Linked DNA regions of Lepisosteus oculatus. The protein of the gene in region 1 interacts with the protein of each later gene in a pairwise test. Links are inferred from orthologs where the notes say so. Each region holds a gene or a part of one and is shown on either strand. Other genes may lie near its edges. The genes, in order: hematopoietic prostaglandin D synthase, alpha/beta hydrolase domain-containing protein 17A and meltf.

Region 1 (8,026 bases):
TGACAGTTAACTCAGAATATATTCCACTCACTCCAATTCTCCTTGAATATATTTTCTCCCAGTGGCTCCCATGACATATTTAGAGATATTTTATTGTAAGAATATTAAATTATAATTACTAGGTCATATTAGCATTTTAAAGAGAATAGGTTTCCACATCACCTCCAGGTGGCAGCAGGACAGGCATTTAATAAAAAAACGAAATACTGTGCTTTCTAAGTTCTGTTCCTTTCCAGAAACAACAGGAAACAGACTGGTGATCAGTGTAAGAAACACTGAAAACATTGTAGTGTTGACACTTAGTTTCTAAAAAACACATAACCTTCGAAGCATACTGTGACAAGCACACTAGCCCTTTTGTTTTCAGTCTGAACACAAGGGTGATCAGCTCCAAACAGTAAAGACTTGGACACTTGTTATCTCAATTGGTGTAGACTTTTGAGCAACCTTCTGAAGGTCAGGATGGTGGTCAGGTACAGCTCCAGCAATGGAACACACTCCAGTCTCTGTTGGGGTCAAGAGAATACTACTGAGCCAGATGTATAAAGGTTTAAGCAGAAACTCATTATGTTGGATCATTTATGTGACAGAAACAATATACTTTTGAACACATCCATGTAAAAACGGTCAAGAATCAGAAGCCATCAGTAGGTTTTTGTCTTGTACACTGCACTCTTTTTTTCTAAAGCTGCACTGATGTACAGTAGACAGGACAGAGAACCACAAAACTGTCCTGGAGACATTGGCTCTTAATACACCTGGTTTTTCCTCAAATCATTCCCATTTCACTGCCCACACCACTTTTCACTCCATACACAAATACATATGAATCATAGTGCATTTGAAATATCAAAGACAGTTGTCTGATGTACTTTCAGTGGGGCACTGATTTGAAAAGAACCATCATTTATTGTGGGCTTTGCTGTATATTAGGGGTCATCGTCCTTGATTCCAGGGTGTTACAGAGTCCTCTGTTATGCACTTTAGACCACCTCTTCCTTACTTAATTTAAACAAGGTATTGACATAATTCTCATGAAGATTACCACAATCTCTATCCAACAACCAAAAGACTGGATATCTCCATGATCAAGGTTAGAGACCATTGCTCTACAGGCTAGGATAGAACCTGTATTTCAGTTTGTTTATAAAGAAACCTATTTTAGCTTAGTCTTATTGGCCTTACTGGTCTCTCTTGTTGCTTCTGAACTGTGTGGTGTATATTGTCGTGAGCTCCAAAGTGGCAGTTCCTCAACTGAACTGATTACTGGTCTGAAAGAGCTACATCTGTACAACTAAACCTTTCAGAGCACAACAGTTCCAATTTTATACATGCTAGAATAAATACAGTATCTGTTATATATCTGTTAAATATCTGCATCTAAAGAAGTACTGTAATACTGTACGCCTTAGGAGATAATAGATATTTACTTATTTCACATTTTTTCCTTCTCCTTTTTAAACAAATCGATAAGAGCCCACAAAAAAGAAAAAAAAAGTGAAATGTCTAACAGTTCCGCTGTGCAACATACAGACTGCTGCCACTGTGGTGTCACAGGTTCAGACTGACATGCCCTGTGAAGAGCTCAGGATGTCACTTGGTCCTTTGCGCCAGGTCTTTGGGTTCTGCAGGCATCCTTAATCAGTGGCTAAAGATCATGGTACTGTAATCTGGACTTTTCAGGATTCCTGTAAAGTAGCTAAAAGCTGGGGTGAAATGCAGACCAGAAGACTCTATTGACCAGTTGTTCCATAGTGGTAAAGCAACCCTACAGAAACTGGACCTTTCTTCTCAATCCTGTTTCACAATACAGTTTTGTTTTTCATACAGGTATGTATAAAGCTGGACCACTCACGCAGAAAAAGAATGCCAGAGTACATAAAAAACCAGAAATTTGTATTCAGAAAAATAAAACATATTACTTAAAGGTGCCTTTTATTTAATGAAAAAAAAAGAATTCCCAACTCAACTAAAAGTCAAGTAAGTGTTTAATAAGAAATCAATAAGGCACATAATTGCCATTCCATGAAACTCAATAAGAGCTACTGTCTGTCAATACCAGCTGAAGGTTACTTAGGTGTGCCAAGGTGTCACAAAGTCTGCTCCAGATGGGAGTTCATCTTTATTTGTCACTTTCAAGAGAACAGCCTGCTGACACAGGAGAGCTGACTGAAGCTGATACTGTTATTATTTCTCCAGTAGCAAACATATTTGTGAACTTTATTCACAGCATACTTTTCATTTGAGTGTTTTCAGGTTTTGGTCATTTACACTATCAACTGTACAAATGGTGGTACATTACCTGTGGTGTGGACACACAATTATTGTCCTGGAATCCATCCATCCATCCATTTCCTACCACTTTATTCAATACAGGGTCATGGGGGAACTGAAGCCTTACCCTGAAAGCATCGGGCAAAAGGCAGGGTACACCCTCGACGTTTGATATTACAGTATATCAGTTTTTTACCCATAAATAGTCAATGAAAAAGCTATGAAATGTCTTAAAAATTCTTAAAACCTCAGTAATAATGTTAACATATTATGAAAATATGGCTTTCAGAAGTCAAGAAAATATTACATTTTAACAATCTGTCTGAAATTATTTTATAATAATATGTAGAATGCATTAACAAAAACACGAGCACTTTAATATGAAGTGTGACTGATTTCTATGCAAACTGCATGTAACCAGCACTCAAGAGTGCATTCTGTAGGCTACATAAGCTCTTTTGATCAAGGAAGCAGTTAATACTCTGGCTCATTAATGTCCATCAAATTCCTGTTGTTCATGTACTATTAAGACAGTTTGGATTTTGTGCAGGGGTATACTACACCTGATTTAAAGGAAGAAACACAATTTTCTCACATGAACGAATTTGTAGAATCCCTGTTCTACTGTACTCCCTGACAATGGAACATGGTTACTAGCAGTATAAAAAAAGTTACTAGCACCCAAAGAAATCTCCAATGATTATAAAATGTTAAAATACTTTGTTCATATAAACATTTTACAATAAGGGCCAGGACTGTTCACTCTCCTGGGCACCCTGTTACCTCCCTTTAAACTTTTAAAAACACACAGAAACGACGAGCTGGATTTTATGGATAAGGGCTCACATACTGTAAGGAGCAATTACAGTGTAACTCCGGACTGGGTGAGGTAGCTGTTACTATTATAAAGCTTTGCAAAAAATATTCATGACAGATTCTAGATATTCTTACGTTCATCATTTCAATGCAGTTTACATTTTTAGCATCAGAGAACCACTAAATTCTAAAGAACTAAACAACCTACTGTACGTATTGCGCTCTAGCTGTGTAGATACTGTTTACAGTATGTGTGAATTGCATGTGTTTGACACTGAACAGGCTGTTTTTATGGTTCTCTCTGCTAAAGATAAGTAAAACCTTATCCATAAGGGAAAACATGCGATTAGAAAATCTGCATTTGTATTGTTTTAGATTTTATTTCATACTTTAAATGTGCCTTATGTCGCGACCGCCCACAATCAGAATCCAACCATACGCTGTTCTCGCAAACAACCCCGCATTGTTCCCAATCAGACTCCAGCTCTTTCCAATTCCAACAAACACCGTCGCAGTAAGTAATCAACCACCCAGACCTTTCTTTCATCACCGCACCCTCCACTTCCCAGGTTACCCTTACAACCCTTTGACCTCAATATTGGTTTTCACCTATCGGAACTCCCCTTCTCGTTTTTTGAGACTTCCTTGCGATTTACCTGACTCCTGAACCTGTCGTTGACCAAGGCCTTTGATCTATAAGGAAGCCCGTTTCCACCAGAGTAAAAAAAAGGTGGGGAGAGCGCGCTATGATATCTCACAGTTTCGACTTCATATTTCATAATTATGATTTTTTGCAACTTAAAATCTCGTAATTCCAACTTCTCGTGTTTACGCCTTTATATCTCACAACTGCAGCCTTTTATCTCAAAATAACGACCTCATTTCTGATACGACTTTATATCTCAAAATATCTACCTTATTTCTCATATTTACGATTTCATATCGCACAATTTTGACGTCACTTCTGGTGCCAGCAATGAACATAGCCAGGCCAGGTTGCTCATCTGGCAAAAGAAGCCCACCGTCCACTATTTCATTCAGTTACTATGGAAGCCTCACTGGCAGAAATGGGCTTCCATAAAAATTAGTGTAAACCTACATTAATTCGATTTTTATCAGGGCACTTGACAAGTCTTCAGGCCTATAGATCTTGTATGAGTTATGAATAGAACAAAAGGACAATTAAATGTAGGCTATTTCGAAGTCGCAAATTCGAGATAAAAAGTCAAAATTATGAGACAAAAGTTGTAATTGCTAGATAAAGACGCAATTGCGAGATATGAAGTCGTAATTATGACAAAGTCATAACTTTGAGATATAAAGTCAAAACTTCGAGATAGCATAGCGTGCTTTTTCTTTACTCCCTGGTGGAAACTGGCTTCCATAGGATCTACAATTCAGATAAATACACTCAGATTTTCCTTCTAGAAAATGTTCTAGTAGAAGTTCTACTCCTGTACCCCTTTTTACTGTCAGTCACTGCACAGGGTACTAAAATGCATCTGGCTTGTAGTGTAATAGATTACTGAGCCTCTATTAATGGTAGATCAAAGACCTTCGTCAAAGACAGATTCAGGAGTAAGGTAAATCACAAGAAACTCAAAAGTGAGAAGGGAAGCTCAACTAGATGAAAACCACTACTGAGTGTTGAGGGCAAAGTGGGGAGGGTGATGAAAGAAAGGTCTGGTTGGCTGATTAGTTACTGCGATGGCGTTAGTTGGAATTGGAAAGAGCTGGAGTCTGATTGGGTAAAATTCGGGGTTGCTTACGAGGGTGGCATATGGTTGGATTCTGATTGTGGGCTGTCGTGACACCTTATGCTTCAAATGTAGGTTGTGTCATCAGAGATAAGACTTTGGCATCTTATAAAAGCAGCTGGCTACTTCTGTATTTCTTCAGTTAAAAGGAGGAACAAAACCTCAACGAAACCGCATACAGAATCTGTAAGTCAACACTCTTTTTCAACCTTTCAGCAAAAGAAAAAAACACCTCATGAAATATATTTAATGATATTGTCTTGTAGTCTATGTTTTTCTTACCTTGTGGTTTATAACCCATTTACTACCTTGATATTGTCTTAATTCTGTTACATTTTGATCAGGAACATAGGTCTGAGATTTGTGACTTAAGTTAGAAAAATATCTATATAATCAAACTTTCTATGCATTTGAATTCTGGGTTACAAATGACTGCAAAGGGAAACTAGCAACAATGTTGCTGCTTGGTACACCTGCAAGCATTCTATAATTTTTGGAGGATAGTGAATCTTTGGGACAATAGATTGGAATGGAAAGATTAAAAAAAATCCTCCAAATTACATCATTGCATCATACAGTAGTGGATAGCTTTATTGTTCCGGCACAGGCCACTGTTCTTGAAACTCACTGCTGTGGTCATATCTGTGCTCCCAGGCCAGGGTACCAGGGCTGTGAAGGTTTCAAGGGTGCTGACAGGTGCCAGATACAGCTCAGGTGCTTCCTTGATTCATCCTGACTCTATTTCAGGTGGCTTTAGGCATCCAGCTCCTGCTTTCCCTGTTTCTACTGCATGTTTCTGTTTCTCTGCCATCCCACCAGTACATACATATGTGGGGTTGGCCCCACTCAGGCTCCTTACAGCAGTACTGTAGGAGTGAGAGGGTGGCCTTTATCACTGCCCTTCTCTTCTATTGCCTCATGGTGGGGGGGGGGGGGTCTCTCTGGGGCCTCGAGGCAAAGGCACACTGGTAGATTCTAGTAGTTCTGAGGTTTAAATCATCCAGAAAACTCGCCCAACGTGCTACTAATTTAATTACACTGCCAAGATTTCTCAAGCCGATGACGTGTGAATAGCTTGCTATTTGCTTACATTCCAAACAATCATGCCTCAGTTGTTTCTCTTTGCTCCTTCAGGCACACTTTTGCTTTCGTGCAACACATGCACATGATTAATCCACCTTGCCCCTTAATCCACAGCGACTTCCTCATGTGCCCGTCAGTACTGCTGTGCATGTCTGGGTGCGGTGTCTTGCTCCAGGGTACAACACTGCTCCACTTGGGGTGTGAACCCACAGCTTTCCAGAGCCCTGACCATTGCCTGCTTCATTTCAAAGCTAATTCTCACATGTGAAAAGGCAGTGTGGTAGCATAGAGGTTAGCATTACTGACTGTGGAGAAACAGAACCAGATAAACTGGGAGGGGAAATTGCTCCCATCTTTGTCCTTTCTGCTGTTTGGCTCTCCCTGCCTTTAAAGTGGCGTGATGCCTGGGCCATTTCCAAGAGCAGGGAAACCCTGCACCTCCCTTAAACTCTCAGATGATTCAACAAGAGATGCGCTGCTAAGTTATTTATTGACCAGAGGGTGCTGTGTACAGTAACCTTCCTCTTTAGAAACTTTCCTTCAGACACCAGACAATCTTATTCGCTATGTCAGCAGAAGTGATAGTTCACTACCTATTAAATCTAATGTTTTCGGCTTGTATCATTTTAGAATTTGTCAAGTAGGAAGCCAACAAAAAATGTGAAACTTTTTAAAATGTTATTAATAGGGCAAATTAAACAATATTTATTATACTCTATAAAGTTGGAAATAACACATAGTAATCCCATACAGTAACTGTATTTGTCTAATTCTGTACATTATTTTTTCAGCACAAACATAAGTATAAGATAATTGTAGTATTTGGCATGCCCTGCCTTGCATTTCTTAAGCATCATGAAAATCTTTCGCACTGATGGTTTCAGTTATGAGCCCTCAGGCCTCTGAAAGATTTGCTCATTTGTTCATAAGCATGGATCGTTGATCTTACTTTAGTTAAGTGTGTGTTTCTTGGGAAAACCAGTTTCCTCCTCTGTTTCTTGAGCTTTTCGTCACATTAATTCACGCACTATAGAGCAAAGTATGCAGTCTTTGATATATAGTGGAGATCTGTGTCTTATTCATTGGTTTTAGGAGAAGCATGGCTTCCTACAAGCTCACTTACTTTAACATGAGAGGGAGAGCTGAGCTGACCCGCTTCATATTGGCCTATGCAGGGATCCCCTACGAAGACATCAGAATAGAATGGCATAACTGGCCTTCCATCAAGCCCTGTGAGTAGCTTGCGCTCTGTGTTTTACTTGCATTAATATATCGCAGGAATGCATTACTCTGAAACTCCTTACAATGCAGTTTCACAGAAATTTACATTAGAAGTTATGTTAGCAGGCTGCATTGTTTTGTCAACTAGTTTGTCTTCATTTAGAACAATTCAATTTATGTGCTGGTAAGGATTTAGTTAATGTGAAATGACATTATCAATGAATTAAGCTTGCAGTTAATCTTGGTTTCATTTTGTTTATGGAGAGGGAGCACATTGTCAATAACTACTATAATGTTTTGATTGTTGAGGGTTAAAGTTTTCTTGAAGACAATATCCGAGCACCACACATGCAAGATAAACTCTGCCAAACACATTTCAATTGCAAAAATCCATAAAGCACAATTTAAACTCTGCACAGGTAGCTGGGAACTCTTTATACCACCTTATCATCTCAAATGTGAAGCAATGTTGGTGGGTTGCAGGCTGTAGGTTTGACTCCCAGATGGAGCTCTGCTGTTGTCTCCTTGAGCAAGATGCTGTTCTCATGTAATACCCTGTTATATAAGAGGATACTAGTCATCATTGTACATGAGAATATATTCTTAGTGGTCAAATAAATGATTATTATTAATATAGGATTCATAATTATAAATATTGTAACGCAACGGGGGCTCAGGCGGGCGCCCTTGCCGCATCTGGTCGGCCCCTTCCCGACTGGAGGCTCGAACCCGGGGACTTCCGCGTCTCTCTGCAGCGACCTAGCCCCGTGAGCTAAAGAGAGATCTCTCCACAGCCCAGTAGCTGTGGTCCTGCTATCACAGGGAAGGGCAGTGACGTCGCCCGCTCTGGTACGCCGGCTCTTACACACAGTGCT
Region 2 (7,292 bases), on another chromosome or scaffold:
GGGGGCAGGAAGGCCAGCTTGGCGGCGATGCGGCTGGGGCAGGGGGGGCAGCAGAACAGGCAGCACAGCTCGCTGACGGACAGCCCGTTCATGGCCCTGCAGGACAAAGCACAGTACTCAGGACACACTGTGGTCAGGGCTGGCCACTGGACAGCAGTGCAGGACAGTGTGGTAGCTGTGCACAAGTACTGTACAGTACAGTACAATACAGTATACTGTACACCAGTACTGTACACACAGTACTGTACAGTACTGTACAGTACAGTATACTGTACACCAGCACTCCACAGTGTAGAACAGTACAGTACACTATACAGCAGTGCAGGATGGTGTGGTAACTGTGCACACAATACTGTACAGTACAATACAGTATACTGTACACCAGCACTCCACAGTGTAGAACAGTACAGTACACTATACAGCAGTGCACGACAGTGTGGTAACTGTGCACACAGTACTGTACAGTACAATACAGTATACTGTACACCAGCACTCCACAGTGTAGAACAGTACAGTACACTATACACCAGTGCGGGACAGTGTGGTAACTGTGCACACAGTACAGTACAGTATACTGTACACCAATACTCCACAGTGTAGAACAGTACAGTACACTATACACCAGTGCGGGACAGTGTGGTAACTGTACACACAGTACTGTACAGTACAGTATACTGTACACCAGTACTCCACAGTGTAGAACAGTACAGTACACTATACAGTATACTGAGTACAGTGTGGTAACTGTGCACACAGTACTGTACAGTACAGCAGTGCAGGACGGTGCAGGACGGTGTGGTAACTGTACACACAGTACTGTAGAGTACAGTATACTGTACACCAGTACTCCACAGTGTAGAACAGTACAGTACACTATACACCAGTGCAGGACGGTGTGGTAACTGTGACCACAATACTGTACAGTACAGTATACTGTACACCAGCACTCCACAGTGTAGAACAGTACAGTACACTATACACCAGTGCGGGACAGTGTGGTAACTGTACACACAGTACTGTACAGTACAGTATACTGTACACCAGCACTCCACAGTGTAGAACAGTACAGTACACTATACACCAGTGCGGGACAGTGTGGTAACTGTACACACAGTACTGTAGAGTACAGTATACTGTACACCAGTACTCCACAGTGTAGAACAGTACAGTACACTATACAGTATACTGAGTACAGTGTGGTAACTGTGCACACAGTACTGTACAGTACAGCAGTGCAGGACGGTGTGGTAACTGTACACACAGTACTGTAGAGTACAGTATACTGTACACCAGTACTCCACAGTGTAGAACAGTACAGTACACTATACACCAGTGTGGGACAGTGTGGTAACTGTGCACACAGTACAGTACAGTATACTGTACACCAGTACTCCACAGTGTAGAATAGTACAGTACACTATACAGCAGTGCAGGACGGTGTGGTAACTGTACACACAGTACTGTACAGTACAGTATACTGTACACCAATACTCCACAGTGTAGAACAGTACAGTACACCATACAGCAATGCGGGACAGTGTGGTAACTGTGCACACAGTACTGTACAGTACTGTACAGTACAGTATACTGTACAGCAGCACTCCACAGTGTAGAACAGTACAGTACACTATACACCAGTGCGGGACAGTGTGGTAACTGTGCGTACAGTACAGTACAGTACAATACAGTATACTGTACACCAGTACTCCACAGTGTAGAACAGTACAGTACACTATACAGCAGTGCCAGACAGTGTGGTAAGTGTGCACACAATACTGTACAGTACAGTATACTGTACACCAGCACTCCACAGTGTAGAACAGTACAGTACACTATAGAGCAGTGCACGACAGTGTGGTAACTGTGCACACAGTACTGTACAGTACAGTATACTGTACACCAGTACTCCACAGTGTAGAAAAGTACAGGACACTATACAGCAGTGCAGGACAGTGTGGTAACTGTGTACACAGTACTGTACAGTACAGTATACTGTACACCAGTACTTCACAGTGTAGAACAGTACAGTACACTATACAGCAGTGCAGGACCATGTGGTAACTGTACACACAGTACTGTAGAGAACAGTATACTGTACACCAGCACTCCACAGTGTAGAACAGTACAGTACACTATACAGCAGTGCACGACAGTGTGGTAACTGTGCACACAGTACTGTACAGTACAGTACAATACAGTATACTGTACACCAGCACTCCACAGTGTAGAAAAGTACAGGACACTATACAGCAGTGCAGGACGGTGTGGTAACTGTGCACACAGTACCGTACAGTACAGTACAGTATACTGTACACCAGTACTCCACAGTGTAGAACAGTACAGGACACTATACAGCAGTGCAGGACGGTGTGGTAACTGTGTACAGTTAATTACCTGGTGTTATTTCCGCAGGAGACTCTACAAAAACCCCGTGAAAGACAGCGCGCGAGCAAGAACGTCCCGAGAGGCGCAGCATGAACCCCAGTCCGGCTCGCGGATATACGGGGCTCCGTCACTCGCAGCGGGTCCTACTGGGCAGTGTCGTGGGGACTGGTCCACACCGGAGCCATTGTTTCAAGACCGACTGGCGGTGGCGACAGGGAAGACACGCCGGGCTTCGGCTGCGGTGTCGAAATTAACATCCAATTCTACTCGTCCAACCCTAACCGGTCCGCGGATGGCGGAGATCCCGCACGGTTTCCCGCAACCGAATCGCAAACTAAAACAACACGCGGATTGATTAAAAGTGATTTATGCTACAGCGATAACGAAAAAAAACGGCAAAATAATATCAATTTAGAAACAAACACTGCACACGTCTGGTGTCCAGGCGAAGCAGAACCGGCGGGCCGTCAGACACCGAGTCGAAGCGCGATGCTGCTCCAGGTCTGTGATACAAACATGGAGACGCGGGACGAGCAGCCCTTCCCGTCCACACGGCGACACAGACCCAGAATCCCGGCACCAGGGTTATTTCGTACAGAATTTCATTTCTCCTTCTTCACTCCTGCGCCGCCGTCACCGGATGTGACGCAACCAGGACGTGACGGAAGGAGGCTCCGCTGCACGGGAACAGAGTCCGTCTCGCGGCTGCCGGGGCTGATCGGGGCAGGTGAACGGGAGTCTAATCCGGTTAACGGAAATGCTCCGCAAATGTTTACACTGGGGAGTCAAGACAGCTTGGTCGGACAGAGAACTGGAAACAGACAGGGGGTCTCCTGGCTCCACTGTACCCTTCCGTTACCCTGTATCCCCGATTCCTGACTGTCGCAGTAACGGGGGGACACGGTCCGACCCCCATGAGTAGAAAAATAAAAGTCCCTTCCTCAGCCGGCACAATGCTTTCCGTCATGACCAAAAATGGACTTTTGTTAAGTCATGAGACCCTTCACACTCCGTGTTAGCAAAAAGATGATAGAAAGAGGAAGAGGAGATACTTGTCCGCATATAGCGCCAACCTGAACAGCACTGCTTCACTGTATAATGTTTCTTTATTAGCCCTATACAATTTCTTGCATTAGAAATTCGTCTTTTCGCATACCACAGCTTTTTCTCCAAGGAGACAAAGACACACAGAAAGGGAGAGAAGCTTGGGGTCAGAGCACAGGGTCAGCCATTGTACGACGCCCCTGGAGCAGTTGGGGTGAAGGGCCTTGCTCAGGGGCCCAATGGAGTAGGATTCCTCTGCCGGCCGCGGGATTTGAACCGGCAACCTTTCAGTCACAGACGCAGATCCTTAGCCACAGAGACACCGTGGCACCCTCTCCTAGGGCCGTGTACAGATTAAAAAGCAATGACGCAATAAGAAAACAATATCGGTGTTAAAAACCAGGCCAGCTTTCTTCAGAACAAAACAATTGTTAGTTTTAATTGGGTGGTCTGATACATGGCAGGTAGGGAGAGCAGGAGAAGAGGAGAGACAGCAGGGATACCTAGGGGGTGAGGGGAGCTGATTCACACCTCCAGCATAAACAGATCACCCGAGATACCCAACACCACGGAAACTGCAGAGGCTGAGGCAGAGAGAGAACATCTGTCTCCTGATCAGCATCTCCGCAGCATCTTGGTTCAGGGAGTTCAGCTTTCGTGAACATGTATCGCCTACATTCGAGAGCAGCGACAGGCTCACACGCACAAACAGGCAGGCAGACAGGAAGAGAGATGGCCCACGTTTCCTGCTCTGTTCTTATATTTTTCTAAAACACCAATAAAGGAACAGCAGTAAAACCCTGACTGTTCTGTTCCCCAGAGTCTGTCCCAGAAGCACAGGGCGCAGGTTGGGAGTTCACCCTAGTCAGGACACCAGCCCATCGCTGGGCAGGTTCGCATGCAAACATGCAAACTCTGCAGAGAATGTGCCCCAATCAGGACTGAAACCCAGGACTGCAGAGCAGCAGAAATAACCAGGATACCACCAGCCACCCCAAAACCCTTGAAACCTTTGGTGGCAGGTGGTATGCTGGTTATTTCTGCAGGCAGGGTTTCAGCATTCAGCTTCTCCCTTCTCCTGTATCTGTCTGATTTAGTGCTCCAATTGTCCCTCCCTTCAGCACTGTCACACCTGCGGTGGTTTTGTTTAGTTTAGTGTTTCAGCCTGAGGTGTCAGGATCCAGAAGCAGTGACACCCAGATCTCAGGTATCCTGTAAAGATATGGGACTGGGAGACTGAGGGAGGGAGAGAGGGAGTCGGAGATGGAGCAGAATAAGGGAAGAGGGAGAGAGTCAGAAGTTGGAAAAGAAGATTTTACCATAAAGTGAACTAGACAATTTCAGTCTTCTAGAGGATACTGAAATATAACGTGACACTACAACAACTATTCTTACATTGTTAGACATAACCATGCCCTCAACCACCTTCAGCTCAGATCCGAACCCCTGGTCTGGGAGCACACGTCCCGAGCTGGCTGGCGCCTCGTGGGTTAAACCATCCCGAGCCCTCACTGCAGGAAGAGGAACAAACAAGCTTGATGAATTGGAAGGAGGCGCCGCAAGCCAACTGTGCCGTCTGCTGATGTGGCACCACGAAGCCCTCTCTGGCAGCTGTGGTACAGCCACACCTCCACCCAGAGGGCGCTGCTGCATGGCACCTTTCAAACGAGGAGGCCCGGTCCCTGCTGCAGAGCAGGAACTCGGCCTGGAGCAAGGTCTTCGCCAGTACAGAGCTCTGCTCACTGCACTGCAGCCCCTCAGATCAAACATCTGTGGAATGTGGGTCTGCGTGCTCACAGACCGCTGCCATTTTACTTGTCGTTGCCTCGACCAGAGTAGCAGAAGGACCAGAACATCTCCCCTCCCCCTCCCCCGTTCGCTCACTCTGCAGCTCCCGACACCTGGATCCCAGCTGCAAACCATTTCTCCAAGCTGGTTAATCGGAACCAGCGCCCAGGAATAATGGACCACAAAGTAAAGAGAACACAGCCATTTAAATTTAAAATAAACTTTGTGATTTTATTTCATACTTGGAAGTCATACAATCCTAAAGGAACAGGTGTCTTCCCTGGATGGTGAAGGAGGACAGGGGCGGTGTGGGGTAGGGGTCTGACGAGGGTCTTCTGGGGCCACAAGTCATTTTCCCTCAGGAGCCACATCTAGCTGAGGCAATTAGTCTTAACTGGACCAAATCAGCCCTCGTCCTCCCAGGGGCTCAGCTGCCGGTTTGCAGAGTCTGGAGAACTGTGAGTCTCCAGCACCAGAGATCTCAGTGCAATCAGTGGCTGAAAATCTGCTTCACCTGAGCTAATTAAAACAATTACCTCCTCACAATTAAAACAGTTACATTTACAGATGAGGTGCAGCCCCTGATCACACTCTCCCCCCACGTCTTCTCTGGCGGTCTGTGTACGTATCCTTAACTCCACCTGATCTCCAGCAACCAAGAAAGTGGGAGTCTTTAAAGCAATTATGGCTCAATTAAAATTAAAGCACCAGAGAGACAGCCCGTCACAGAGATGAGCTGAAAGGACCCAGGGCGCCCCTTCCCCATGTTGTAACAAAGCACTATTGAGTCTGATTTAAAAAATCTAATTGCTGTGCTGGATATCCATAAGACTGAAGCATGTTCTAGATTCTCTATTGTTGTTAATATACATGGAAAGGAAATACACCAATTTAGGAAAACTGAGGCACTCCAGAACCTCATTCCTCTGTCCTGGTGCCGGAGCCACAGGGACAGGTTTCCCTGAGCTCCTGACGGATTCCCCGAGTCGGTGAAAGAACTGGTGCCGGTACTGCCGAGTCCAGAGGCAGCCCGGCTGTGGGCTTTCACTTCCCCAGCAGTCTTGGCAGGGCTGTGCTCCTCGGCTCCACGACAGAAGAGCCCGCTCTGCGGTCCAGGACAGATTCTACTGGCAGAATATAATCCTCCTGCTGGCTCCACAAGTTTAAACCAACCTCCGGAAGCAGGAGAGGACACAGGCTGCTTGTGACCCCGACACCTAGAGCAGCTCCTGAGGCAGAGCACGTTAGTACTGCGGTGTGGAAAAACAATGTGCTTCTGCCCCTTTTTAATCAGAATGCAGCCCACAGTTCAAGAAACTGTTACACACAACCCATATCCTCCCGTTCACACCAACCAACTCAACAACAAAATAAATAAAACGCAATCACACAGTCCAAGCTAACTACAATATATTAATATAGATCCTCTGGTGTCATACGCTCATTAAAACAGGAAAAATGAAAGAAGCACAGGACCTCAATCACAAGGCTGCCCAAGCCCAGCCCTTCACATCCGGCAACTGCACGCACTCACAGTATCAACAGAAAAGCAAACTGAAAGCAGAGACTGGGGGTTACCGATCAACTCCACCTCTAACAGCGTGAGGGGGACCGAGCTCCACTACGCAGGGTTGGGGGGTTGGGTGTTTCGCCTTCTGCACCCCAAGTCAGCAGGCACTCACAGCACAAAAACCTCCCTCCACACAGGATGCCCCTGTGAGAGCATGGGGTGGGGGGGGTTTCCGTGATGCATGGCGCACTGGGGCAATGCTGGGGTGGACTGACCCCTGAGCCCATTCTGAGGAACAGTCTGATCCCCTCCACTCCAGGACACCAGCCCAGGCTCGGGCTGCGCTCTGCGAAACACACTGGCCTGCTCCACAAATCCCACATGAATCCCTTATCTGTCATTTTGTTAATATTGCAGAAAACACCCTCTCCACCGCGACCCTGTTCAATACCACTCGCCCCAGTCTCTGAATCTGTAAGATCCAGGGCCCAGTAGCACAGCCACGCCCCCAGAGGACACACGACCAGGACACCCCCCCACCCCCAACACACTGCTCACAGGAGAA
Region 3 (6,991 bases), on another chromosome or scaffold:
GAGCTGGGGTGTGGGGAGCGGACTAGCTGACGTCGCGTCATCCAGGTACGCATTAACTGTAAAGTACTTTGAGTGTCCAGGTAAGAGCTATAGAAGTGTAAGCAAATATAATTAAGCGGTTTCTCAAAGCCCTAGAGAAGCTCGCTGCTTTGCTCCCTGATGACCTCCCCGACGCCCTCCTGCTCGTACGGTACAGCGTGGCACGCTGTCGGCGATACCCTGTACTCCATCTCGGGAAGTTCACAATTTCGCCTTGAATGCTGTGTAAAAGTTCTCCCTTTTTTTCCCTGCAGTCTTAAAACCACTTGGGTTCAGACAGTTAAGCTGCACACTGTTCCGGCAGAGACGGCCTCGACCACTCTCTGGGAGCAAATCGCCTCGTTTCCTTGTGCTTCTCTTTTTAAACGACTCGGTTTTCGACAAGGGAGAGTTTTGGTTTTCGGTAATGAAGCTTTCGGTTATTATTTCTGGTTTAGGCCAAGTCCAGGATTTTCTGTTCTTAAACCAGCCAAACGCACCGTCGGTCTAAGAGCGAACAGTCCTAACAAGTTTGTTTGAGACTGTACCATGAGCTTCATTCTCCCCGCAGAGCTGTTTCCCCTTCTAACGGGGCCCCTCTTCGATACACACCCAGCACAGCAGCTAATCTAACGATTTCAGCGCTTTGCGAGCCAGGGAGGCGGTTTCCAGGTGACCGCGGACATTACGAGGAACTCTCCTGAGGGAATTTTACAGCAGGGGGCACGTAATTAATCCACTGGATGGCGCATCGCAACACGGGCCACAGAGCCGTCTGAGGGGCTCTCGCCTGCTCAGCTGACGTCCTCTGCCTGCTAAAACATGTTACATGCTTTGCCCGACAAGGGGCGTCCTCCGCGCTTTTCCTTACACAACACCGAGTGAGCGCAAGGGGGCATTGCGGAGCCGTGCACGTCATACCGCTGCGGTCAGACGCGGTTTGAAGTTTATCAGTGGTTCTGAGGGGTTTTTTTTTTTGTTCCTTGTCAGGTGTCAAATGGTCTTTGAGAAAACCATCACGAGGTGACCACGTTTCACTCCTCGGCCCTCCTGTCGTACGTGTCATTGATCCTGACTACCCAAGAACTCCGGGATTCAGGAAAGCGACCACCCGAACCCCCCCCTGACTAGAGGATAAACAGAACAAGCACCTGCGCAGGTGTTACAGTGTCACAGGGGGACCAATCGATACCAGAGGTCCGCGCCTTGGGGCACTGTGATGACCTCGAACACTCCAGTTCGGTTAAGTGGCCTGGTGCAGCGCAAACCCATGAGCGCTACTACTGTTTCAGATTATGGTCTGTGTACATCAAAACTTGTTTTTTTTTTATTTATTTGGTCACTTTGATGCGGCCCCTTCGGAGTTTTCCGACGAGACGAGAAATCTCAACGTGCTGCTGCTTTGCAACTGAAAGCGTTTAGAAACCGGAGTGACAAAGATGCACTGGTCGTGTTCGTGCGCGGCGGTTTCGAGCCGAGTCCGTTTCAGAACAGCTCACCCGCTCAGATGACGCGCGTTGCCTTAAACCACACTAACGTTTAAGGTCATATCAGCTGTATTTCTATATCTACTTGTCTTATGTCCCAGTGCCCCTGTAAAATATGAGCTCCCTCTAGCTCAACACCGAGCAGTTTCCAAAACCTAATTTTACTGGACAGGGTGTGAAGCGAATACGGTAACATATTAACGTGCTCTGTTCGTGTCTTGTGAAAAGACGTCAAATGCCCATCCAGATGCCATTTTTAACAGCACGGCTTTTTAGCCTCTGCGCTCTTAATTCGTCTCCATCGTTGCTGAAAATGTCAATGACACGGGCTTATTGGAAATACGTGCAGAGCTACACATGGAGTTTGTGTGCTTTGCGAGTTTTTCGACTCTTAAAATGATGGCAAATATATGCAAGGAGTAACTATATATAGATACAGACCATCTATGCAATGGGTCACTTCGAGAATTGCAGAGTTTGTATCTCATGCAACGCTGCTGTATCTCTACGGTACATCAAACGCATCGCATTCAAAGCCCTGTTCCTTCTACTCTGAGGATAGCGTCACGACTCCCCGTTTGCGAGTCTGCTCATCTTCCCGTACGACGACAGAAGAAAGATGAACTACCATCAGTGAAAACTCAGGCCAACCCTAACCTACATAAAGAGCAGTGTCGGCTCACCAGAAATTACGGTATGATCTAACCAGGAGGTTGATCCTCTAAAGAAAACGAAGCTTTAGTGAATGAGGAGTTCTCTTGTAATTATATGACCAATAAAACCCTAGAATTTCACTTATGCGATGCAAAAGACTGTCGGCAAGAGATCCCAGACTTCCATAGTTTGACACAAAGCAACCAAACTGACCACTTAACTATTTCGACACTTGATCACCGGTTATCCAAACGTGCCCTGTCTAGCATTAGTTAGGGCAGGAAAGTGAACAGAGGATCGACCATCAGATTAAGCTTCCCGAACCCCCAACACAGAACCCCATTACTGATTAACGTCGAGTCTCCAAGATCACGGTTAACACTCATCAGAAAACATTTTGTCCAATGAAGACCGACAACTTCATCTCGATACTAATTAAAATGTGTTCTTAATACATTGAAACATGTAAAGATAAATCTAAACTTTTATTGTCGCCTCCGGGGATAGACGTGGCCATCTCGATCACTTCTAAAACAATGTGATTCTGGACAGGCGCGTTTCACTGTGATTCTGAGCTAGTTAAGTCAAAAGGTCTCAAACGGTATCACGACTTGTACCAATCAAACGGATACGTGTAATGAATAGTAAAAATAAGTGAAACGCGGAGTCAAATAGGTAACCACTATTGAAAGCGCCGTGAGGATGGCGTCGTCATTTACCATTTGCGAGACTATTCAGCTTGTAGCGGGGGCATTTCTGATCGGGTTCCTTATCCGCTCCCCATAGACCAGCACACTTTCTTGTGAGTAGGAAAGACGGGACAGAAATATAGAGTAAACAGGTTTGAGCGGGTCACGCACTTTAACTTTCTAGCCGAGCTTTCACCAGCTGCCCTGGGTCCTGTGTGGGTTTTCCGGGATCAGAGACGGATAGACCCAACCCAACAGAGACAGGCTGGGGGGGATTTTGATGAGACATTTGGCAGCACTATACGCGTTTATTGTGAGCTTGAACTTATAATTATAATCGCTAAAACAGACGAGATACACAGGGCCTTATTAAGTAATTGTTTTCACGTCGTCTCATGCGTGGCAGTTTCTAAAAACAGTATTTTACATTGTTCAATAGTGTCGTATGTGATACATGCAGCAAAAATGTACTGAAAGGTTAGTTTTCGTGAAATAACGGGAATGTTTGCAGAGAATTATTAGATTTTCAAAAGATGGTACCATAAGCTGATTTTGAACTGCAATCGTTATTAGTCTTATTTCAGAAGTAGTTACAGGCTGACAGGTTGGTGTGTATTGTAGGTTACTGCACAGACACAGAGGGAGATGAGAGTTTGGTAGGAATAGCTACTACAGTAGGTAATTGTTGCATTGCTGTCTTCTGTTAAGCAGGTGATTAAATGTTCCATGAAATAATTTGAGTGTGTTGTTAATTAAAAACCAGACACACAAATACAAGCCCTGCTTTCTCCTGGTCATGAAGACCATATCATGTATTTTTCCCAAAAGAACATGGTTCTCTAAGTGTCCGTCTCTGGAAGAGTCGTTCTCCATCATAAACCACAGAGCAGGGATCGTAAACACTCTGGGGTTTTTCATTTTGAGTCTCCATGAACTGAAGATCTGTAGGTATTTTAGGCATTAACCGAGTGAAGATTCAAAGTGTCACGGATGAAGAAAAACCTAGCGAACTACCTCAGAATTTGTGGGTGGAAACACACCGAGAATGTGGGGCTATGACTGCAAGTACTTCAAGTGCTTTCTGTTGCTTGACTGTTGCCGTTTCCTTCATGCCTCGGCAATTATTTTAATCTTCCCTTTTGGTCTTTCTGTTTGGCTGCCCTGTTCCACTGTGCAGGCGGCACACCTGGATGTCTCGTTGGGCCGACGGCCACATAAAGCCTTCTGTGTTGGGGTTTCTGGACAGACTCCAGCTCTTCAGACTTGCGGTTTTACGGTGGGGGTGTGTCCGGACTTACTGACTTCGTGCAGAATTCAGCATGAGCGGGCAGTTGCGCAGGAGGAAAACCGTGGCAGGACCATCATAAAACTTTATGATTATTGTGCTGAAAATGCGGATTCGCTCTTTGCGGACTAGTGGAGTTTGCACTTTTGAACCCGGGAGGGTCTGGGCGCAGTAAGACGGTGTGACTCGAGAGGATAAAAGCCAGTGCCAGCTCTGCGCTCGTCCATCACCATGATCGCTTGGACGACGATTTGCTGGGGTCTCTTCACCCTCCAGGCCGGTGAGATTTCGCGGCAGTTCTCTGTTGGCCGAGCAACAGACAAGAACCTAGGCGTTCAGGAGGATAAATTGCAAAATGAGTCTTTTACGGAGTTTTAGAATATCCTGTTGGCGGGGATCGGGGGGTGTAGTGGTGTCTGTTTAAACACCGTTGGCAAATAAATGCTGGATGTAAATTCGTCGCATTAGACTGCCGTGGTCTGTGAAGATCAGTGCTTTATTTCTGGGGGATCTGAAAGTCGGTGTCTCACGGCGGGTACTGGCGCACATTGGAGAGATGTGTCGTTGTTTGTTGTCAGCGCCCAACGGCTGATTTCAAAGTAAAATAACATAATTTACACAAAACAAACACCAATTCTTGTTTTTAGGCTAGGTTTGAAAAATCTTTTTTGCCGGTTGACCTTGTTCCATGACCCTGTATTTACACAGGTGGGCGGTGTAAAAACACATCTGCTGTTCAGAATGAAAACCCTTTTCTATTGAATCATTTCTAATGTGAATAGAAAAGTGCAAAGAATGTTGTTGTTCCCCCCCCCCGTGCTCAGTTGTAGGCCTGAGTACCGTGCGGTGGTGCACAGTGTCGGACCCGGAGCGCAAGAAGTGCGAGGACCTGTCCAAGGCCTTCAGGGAAGGCGGAGTCCGCCCGGAGTTGCGATGCGTTACCGGCGCCTCGGCTCTCGACTGCGCCGCCAAAGTGTCGGTACGTGGAGCCGGACCCCCCGTTTGCGTTTACTGCTTCCATCGCACGGGTCCCGAAACACCTGGTATCCTGAATCCGGATACGCTCTTTTGGTTTTGTTTTTAAAAAATGAAATTAGGAGTGTAAAGGTACTTTGAGAAGCTACCGAACCCGGAACTCGCACAGGACTGTGTGCAAAGACCGGTGCGATTCCGTCTTTGCCTTCTGTCAGAAGGTTCTGATTCAGAATGTTTATATTTAACTTTCTATTAACTGTCTTTCCTCCATAGCAGTTTAAATTAGTGACGATTAACTTAGATATATATAGATATGCATAGTCCCTGAGTGTGCTGTATGTGTGGCCAGGGAACTCATGCATCTATAATGCAGAATATAAAAACACCCAATAAAACCTGTTCTTTTATTAAGAGTTTTCCGAAACTGGACATGATGAAGGGTGTCTTCAATGAGAGTAAGGGTGGTGTTATCCCATGTGTCCAAATACAGTCTGGCCTCCATATGGTTCACCCCTGTCTGTTCGGCACAGTGAGTTCTCCCATCTCCCGGCAGCCCTGTGCCTCTCTGCTGGGTGGGTGAAGTGGGTCCAGTCCTGAACAGCACGTGACGTGTTTCAGGATCCTTTAGGATAAAAACGCTACATGGATGAGAATATAGATGATGAGGAGGAGGATTATTGTTGTTTTTGTTGTTACTGAGTGGGTAGTACTGTACACTGTGGCCTTCCTTTCCTCAGGGCAATCAAGCGGATGCCGTGACCCTGAGTGGCAAAGATATCTATGAAGCCGGGAAGCAGTACAAGTTCAAAACCGCCGTGGCAGAGACATACGGAGAAGGTAACTTGTGAAGTGTTCCGACGTGGCGTCGGCTCGCCCCGTTCGCCGCCAACCCCCCGGCGAACTGCACGCGCATGGGTGCAAGGCAGGAACCTGTTCTGTACCCCCGGTTCTGTCCCAGCGTGTCGCGGGGCGGGGGTCTGGAGGGGCTGAGTAACGACCTGTGCTCTCCTGCAGAGGTGGGGACCACCTACTACGCCGTGGCAGTGGTGTGGCGGAACAGCACCGGCATCAACATCGACAGCCTGGCGGGGAAGAGGTCCTGCCACACGGGCCTGGGCCGCACGGCGGGCTGGAACATGCCCCTGGGCCTGCTGATCGACAGCGGCCGCATGTCCGTCATGGGCTGCGACATCAAGAGAGGTAGAGCAGGTGTTTCGTTGCCTAGTCCTGGACCCGGTGCAGCAGGCCCGGTCCTCCTCTGTCAGCGCACGGGTGTAATGAGAGCCGCTCCGGGCTCCCTTGAAGCATAGTTCAGGACCCTGTGCAGACGGTATGATCCGGGAGTGAGTGGAAAAGGAGGACGGGGAGGAGACGACGAGGGTCAGGAGGGGGTGACAGACAGGGGGGCGTGACGACGGGGAGCTGGTGCTCGGGGGGCGTGGCCAGGGCGAACAAGTCCAAGGAGTCCAGGGGGGAAATCTGGGGCGAAGTCCAAAAGTCCAAAGCCGGGTGATCCAACCGAGACGGGACAAAACAGAGTTGAAAACCGGAACGGGACCCGGTACAGGGACAGGGGAATAAAAACAGGATGACGAGGCCAGGCGCTCCGAGCCCCGGACGCAGCTGGTCAGGACACTGATAGGAGGCCTGTGCCCTCAAGCCGCGGGCGTAGGGCGACTTGGTGGTAGGCGGGCCTCCGGGCGTCTGTCTTCCAGTGCAGAGCCAGGAGTAGCAAGAGCCAGGAGGGGCAGGACTGGGGGCAGGGGCATCTAATTAGCAAAATAAGAAAGAGCCGGCGCGCTCTTAAGAGGAGGGATTACGATCGTGATGCAGACCCCCTGTTCTTCAGGGGAGCCCCACCTGCCTTTGGTCCCCCTGCGTGT

Evidence for each region.
Region 2: the proteins of hematopoietic prostaglandin D synthase (region 1) and alpha/beta hydrolase domain-containing protein 17A interact in binary tests that used the Homo sapiens proteins (3 or more experiments, as listed by UniProt). The two-hybrid records come from large-scale screens. The link is inferred for Lepisosteus oculatus from reciprocal best matches to the Homo sapiens genes HPGDS and ABHD17A.
Region 3: the proteins of hematopoietic prostaglandin D synthase (region 1) and meltf interact in binary tests that used the Homo sapiens proteins (3 or more experiments, as listed by UniProt). The two-hybrid records come from large-scale screens. The link is inferred for Lepisosteus oculatus from reciprocal best matches to the Homo sapiens genes HPGDS and MELTF.

Annotation. Positions count from the first base shown.
Region 1 is NC_090698.1:13,967,532-13,975,557, forward strand, and holds the start of hematopoietic prostaglandin D synthase, read left to right. Parts: upstream 1-4,963; 5' UTR 4,964-5,033; intron 5,034-7,022; 5' UTR 7,023-7,029; coding exon 7,030-7,162; intron 7,163-8,026. UniProt on the Homo sapiens protein: Bifunctional enzyme which catalyzes both the conversion of PGH2 to PGD2, a prostaglandin involved in smooth muscle contraction/relaxation and a potent inhibitor of platelet aggregation, and the conjugation of glutathione with a wide range of aryl halides and organic isothiocyanates.
Region 2 is NC_090724.1:9,560,801-9,568,092, forward strand, and holds the start of alpha/beta hydrolase domain-containing protein 17A, read right to left. Parts: upstream 3,062-7,292; 5' UTR 2,395-3,061; intron 97-2,394; 5' UTR 93-96; coding exon 1-92. UniProt on the Homo sapiens protein: Hydrolyzes fatty acids from S-acylated cysteine residues in proteins. Has depalmitoylating activity towards NRAS. Has depalmitoylating activity towards DLG4/PSD95. May have depalmitoylating activity towards MAP6.
Region 3 is NC_090708.1:2,209,240-2,216,230, forward strand, and holds the start of meltf (melanotransferrin), read left to right. Parts: upstream 1-3,919; 5' UTR 3,920-4,364; coding exon 4,365-4,413; intron 4,414-4,957; coding exon 4,958-5,112; intron 5,113-5,845; coding exon 5,846-5,945; intron 5,946-6,122; coding exon 6,123-6,308; intron 6,309-6,991. UniProt on the Homo sapiens protein: Involved in iron cellular uptake. Seems to be internalized and then recycled back to the cell membrane. Binds a single atom of iron per subunit. Could also bind zinc.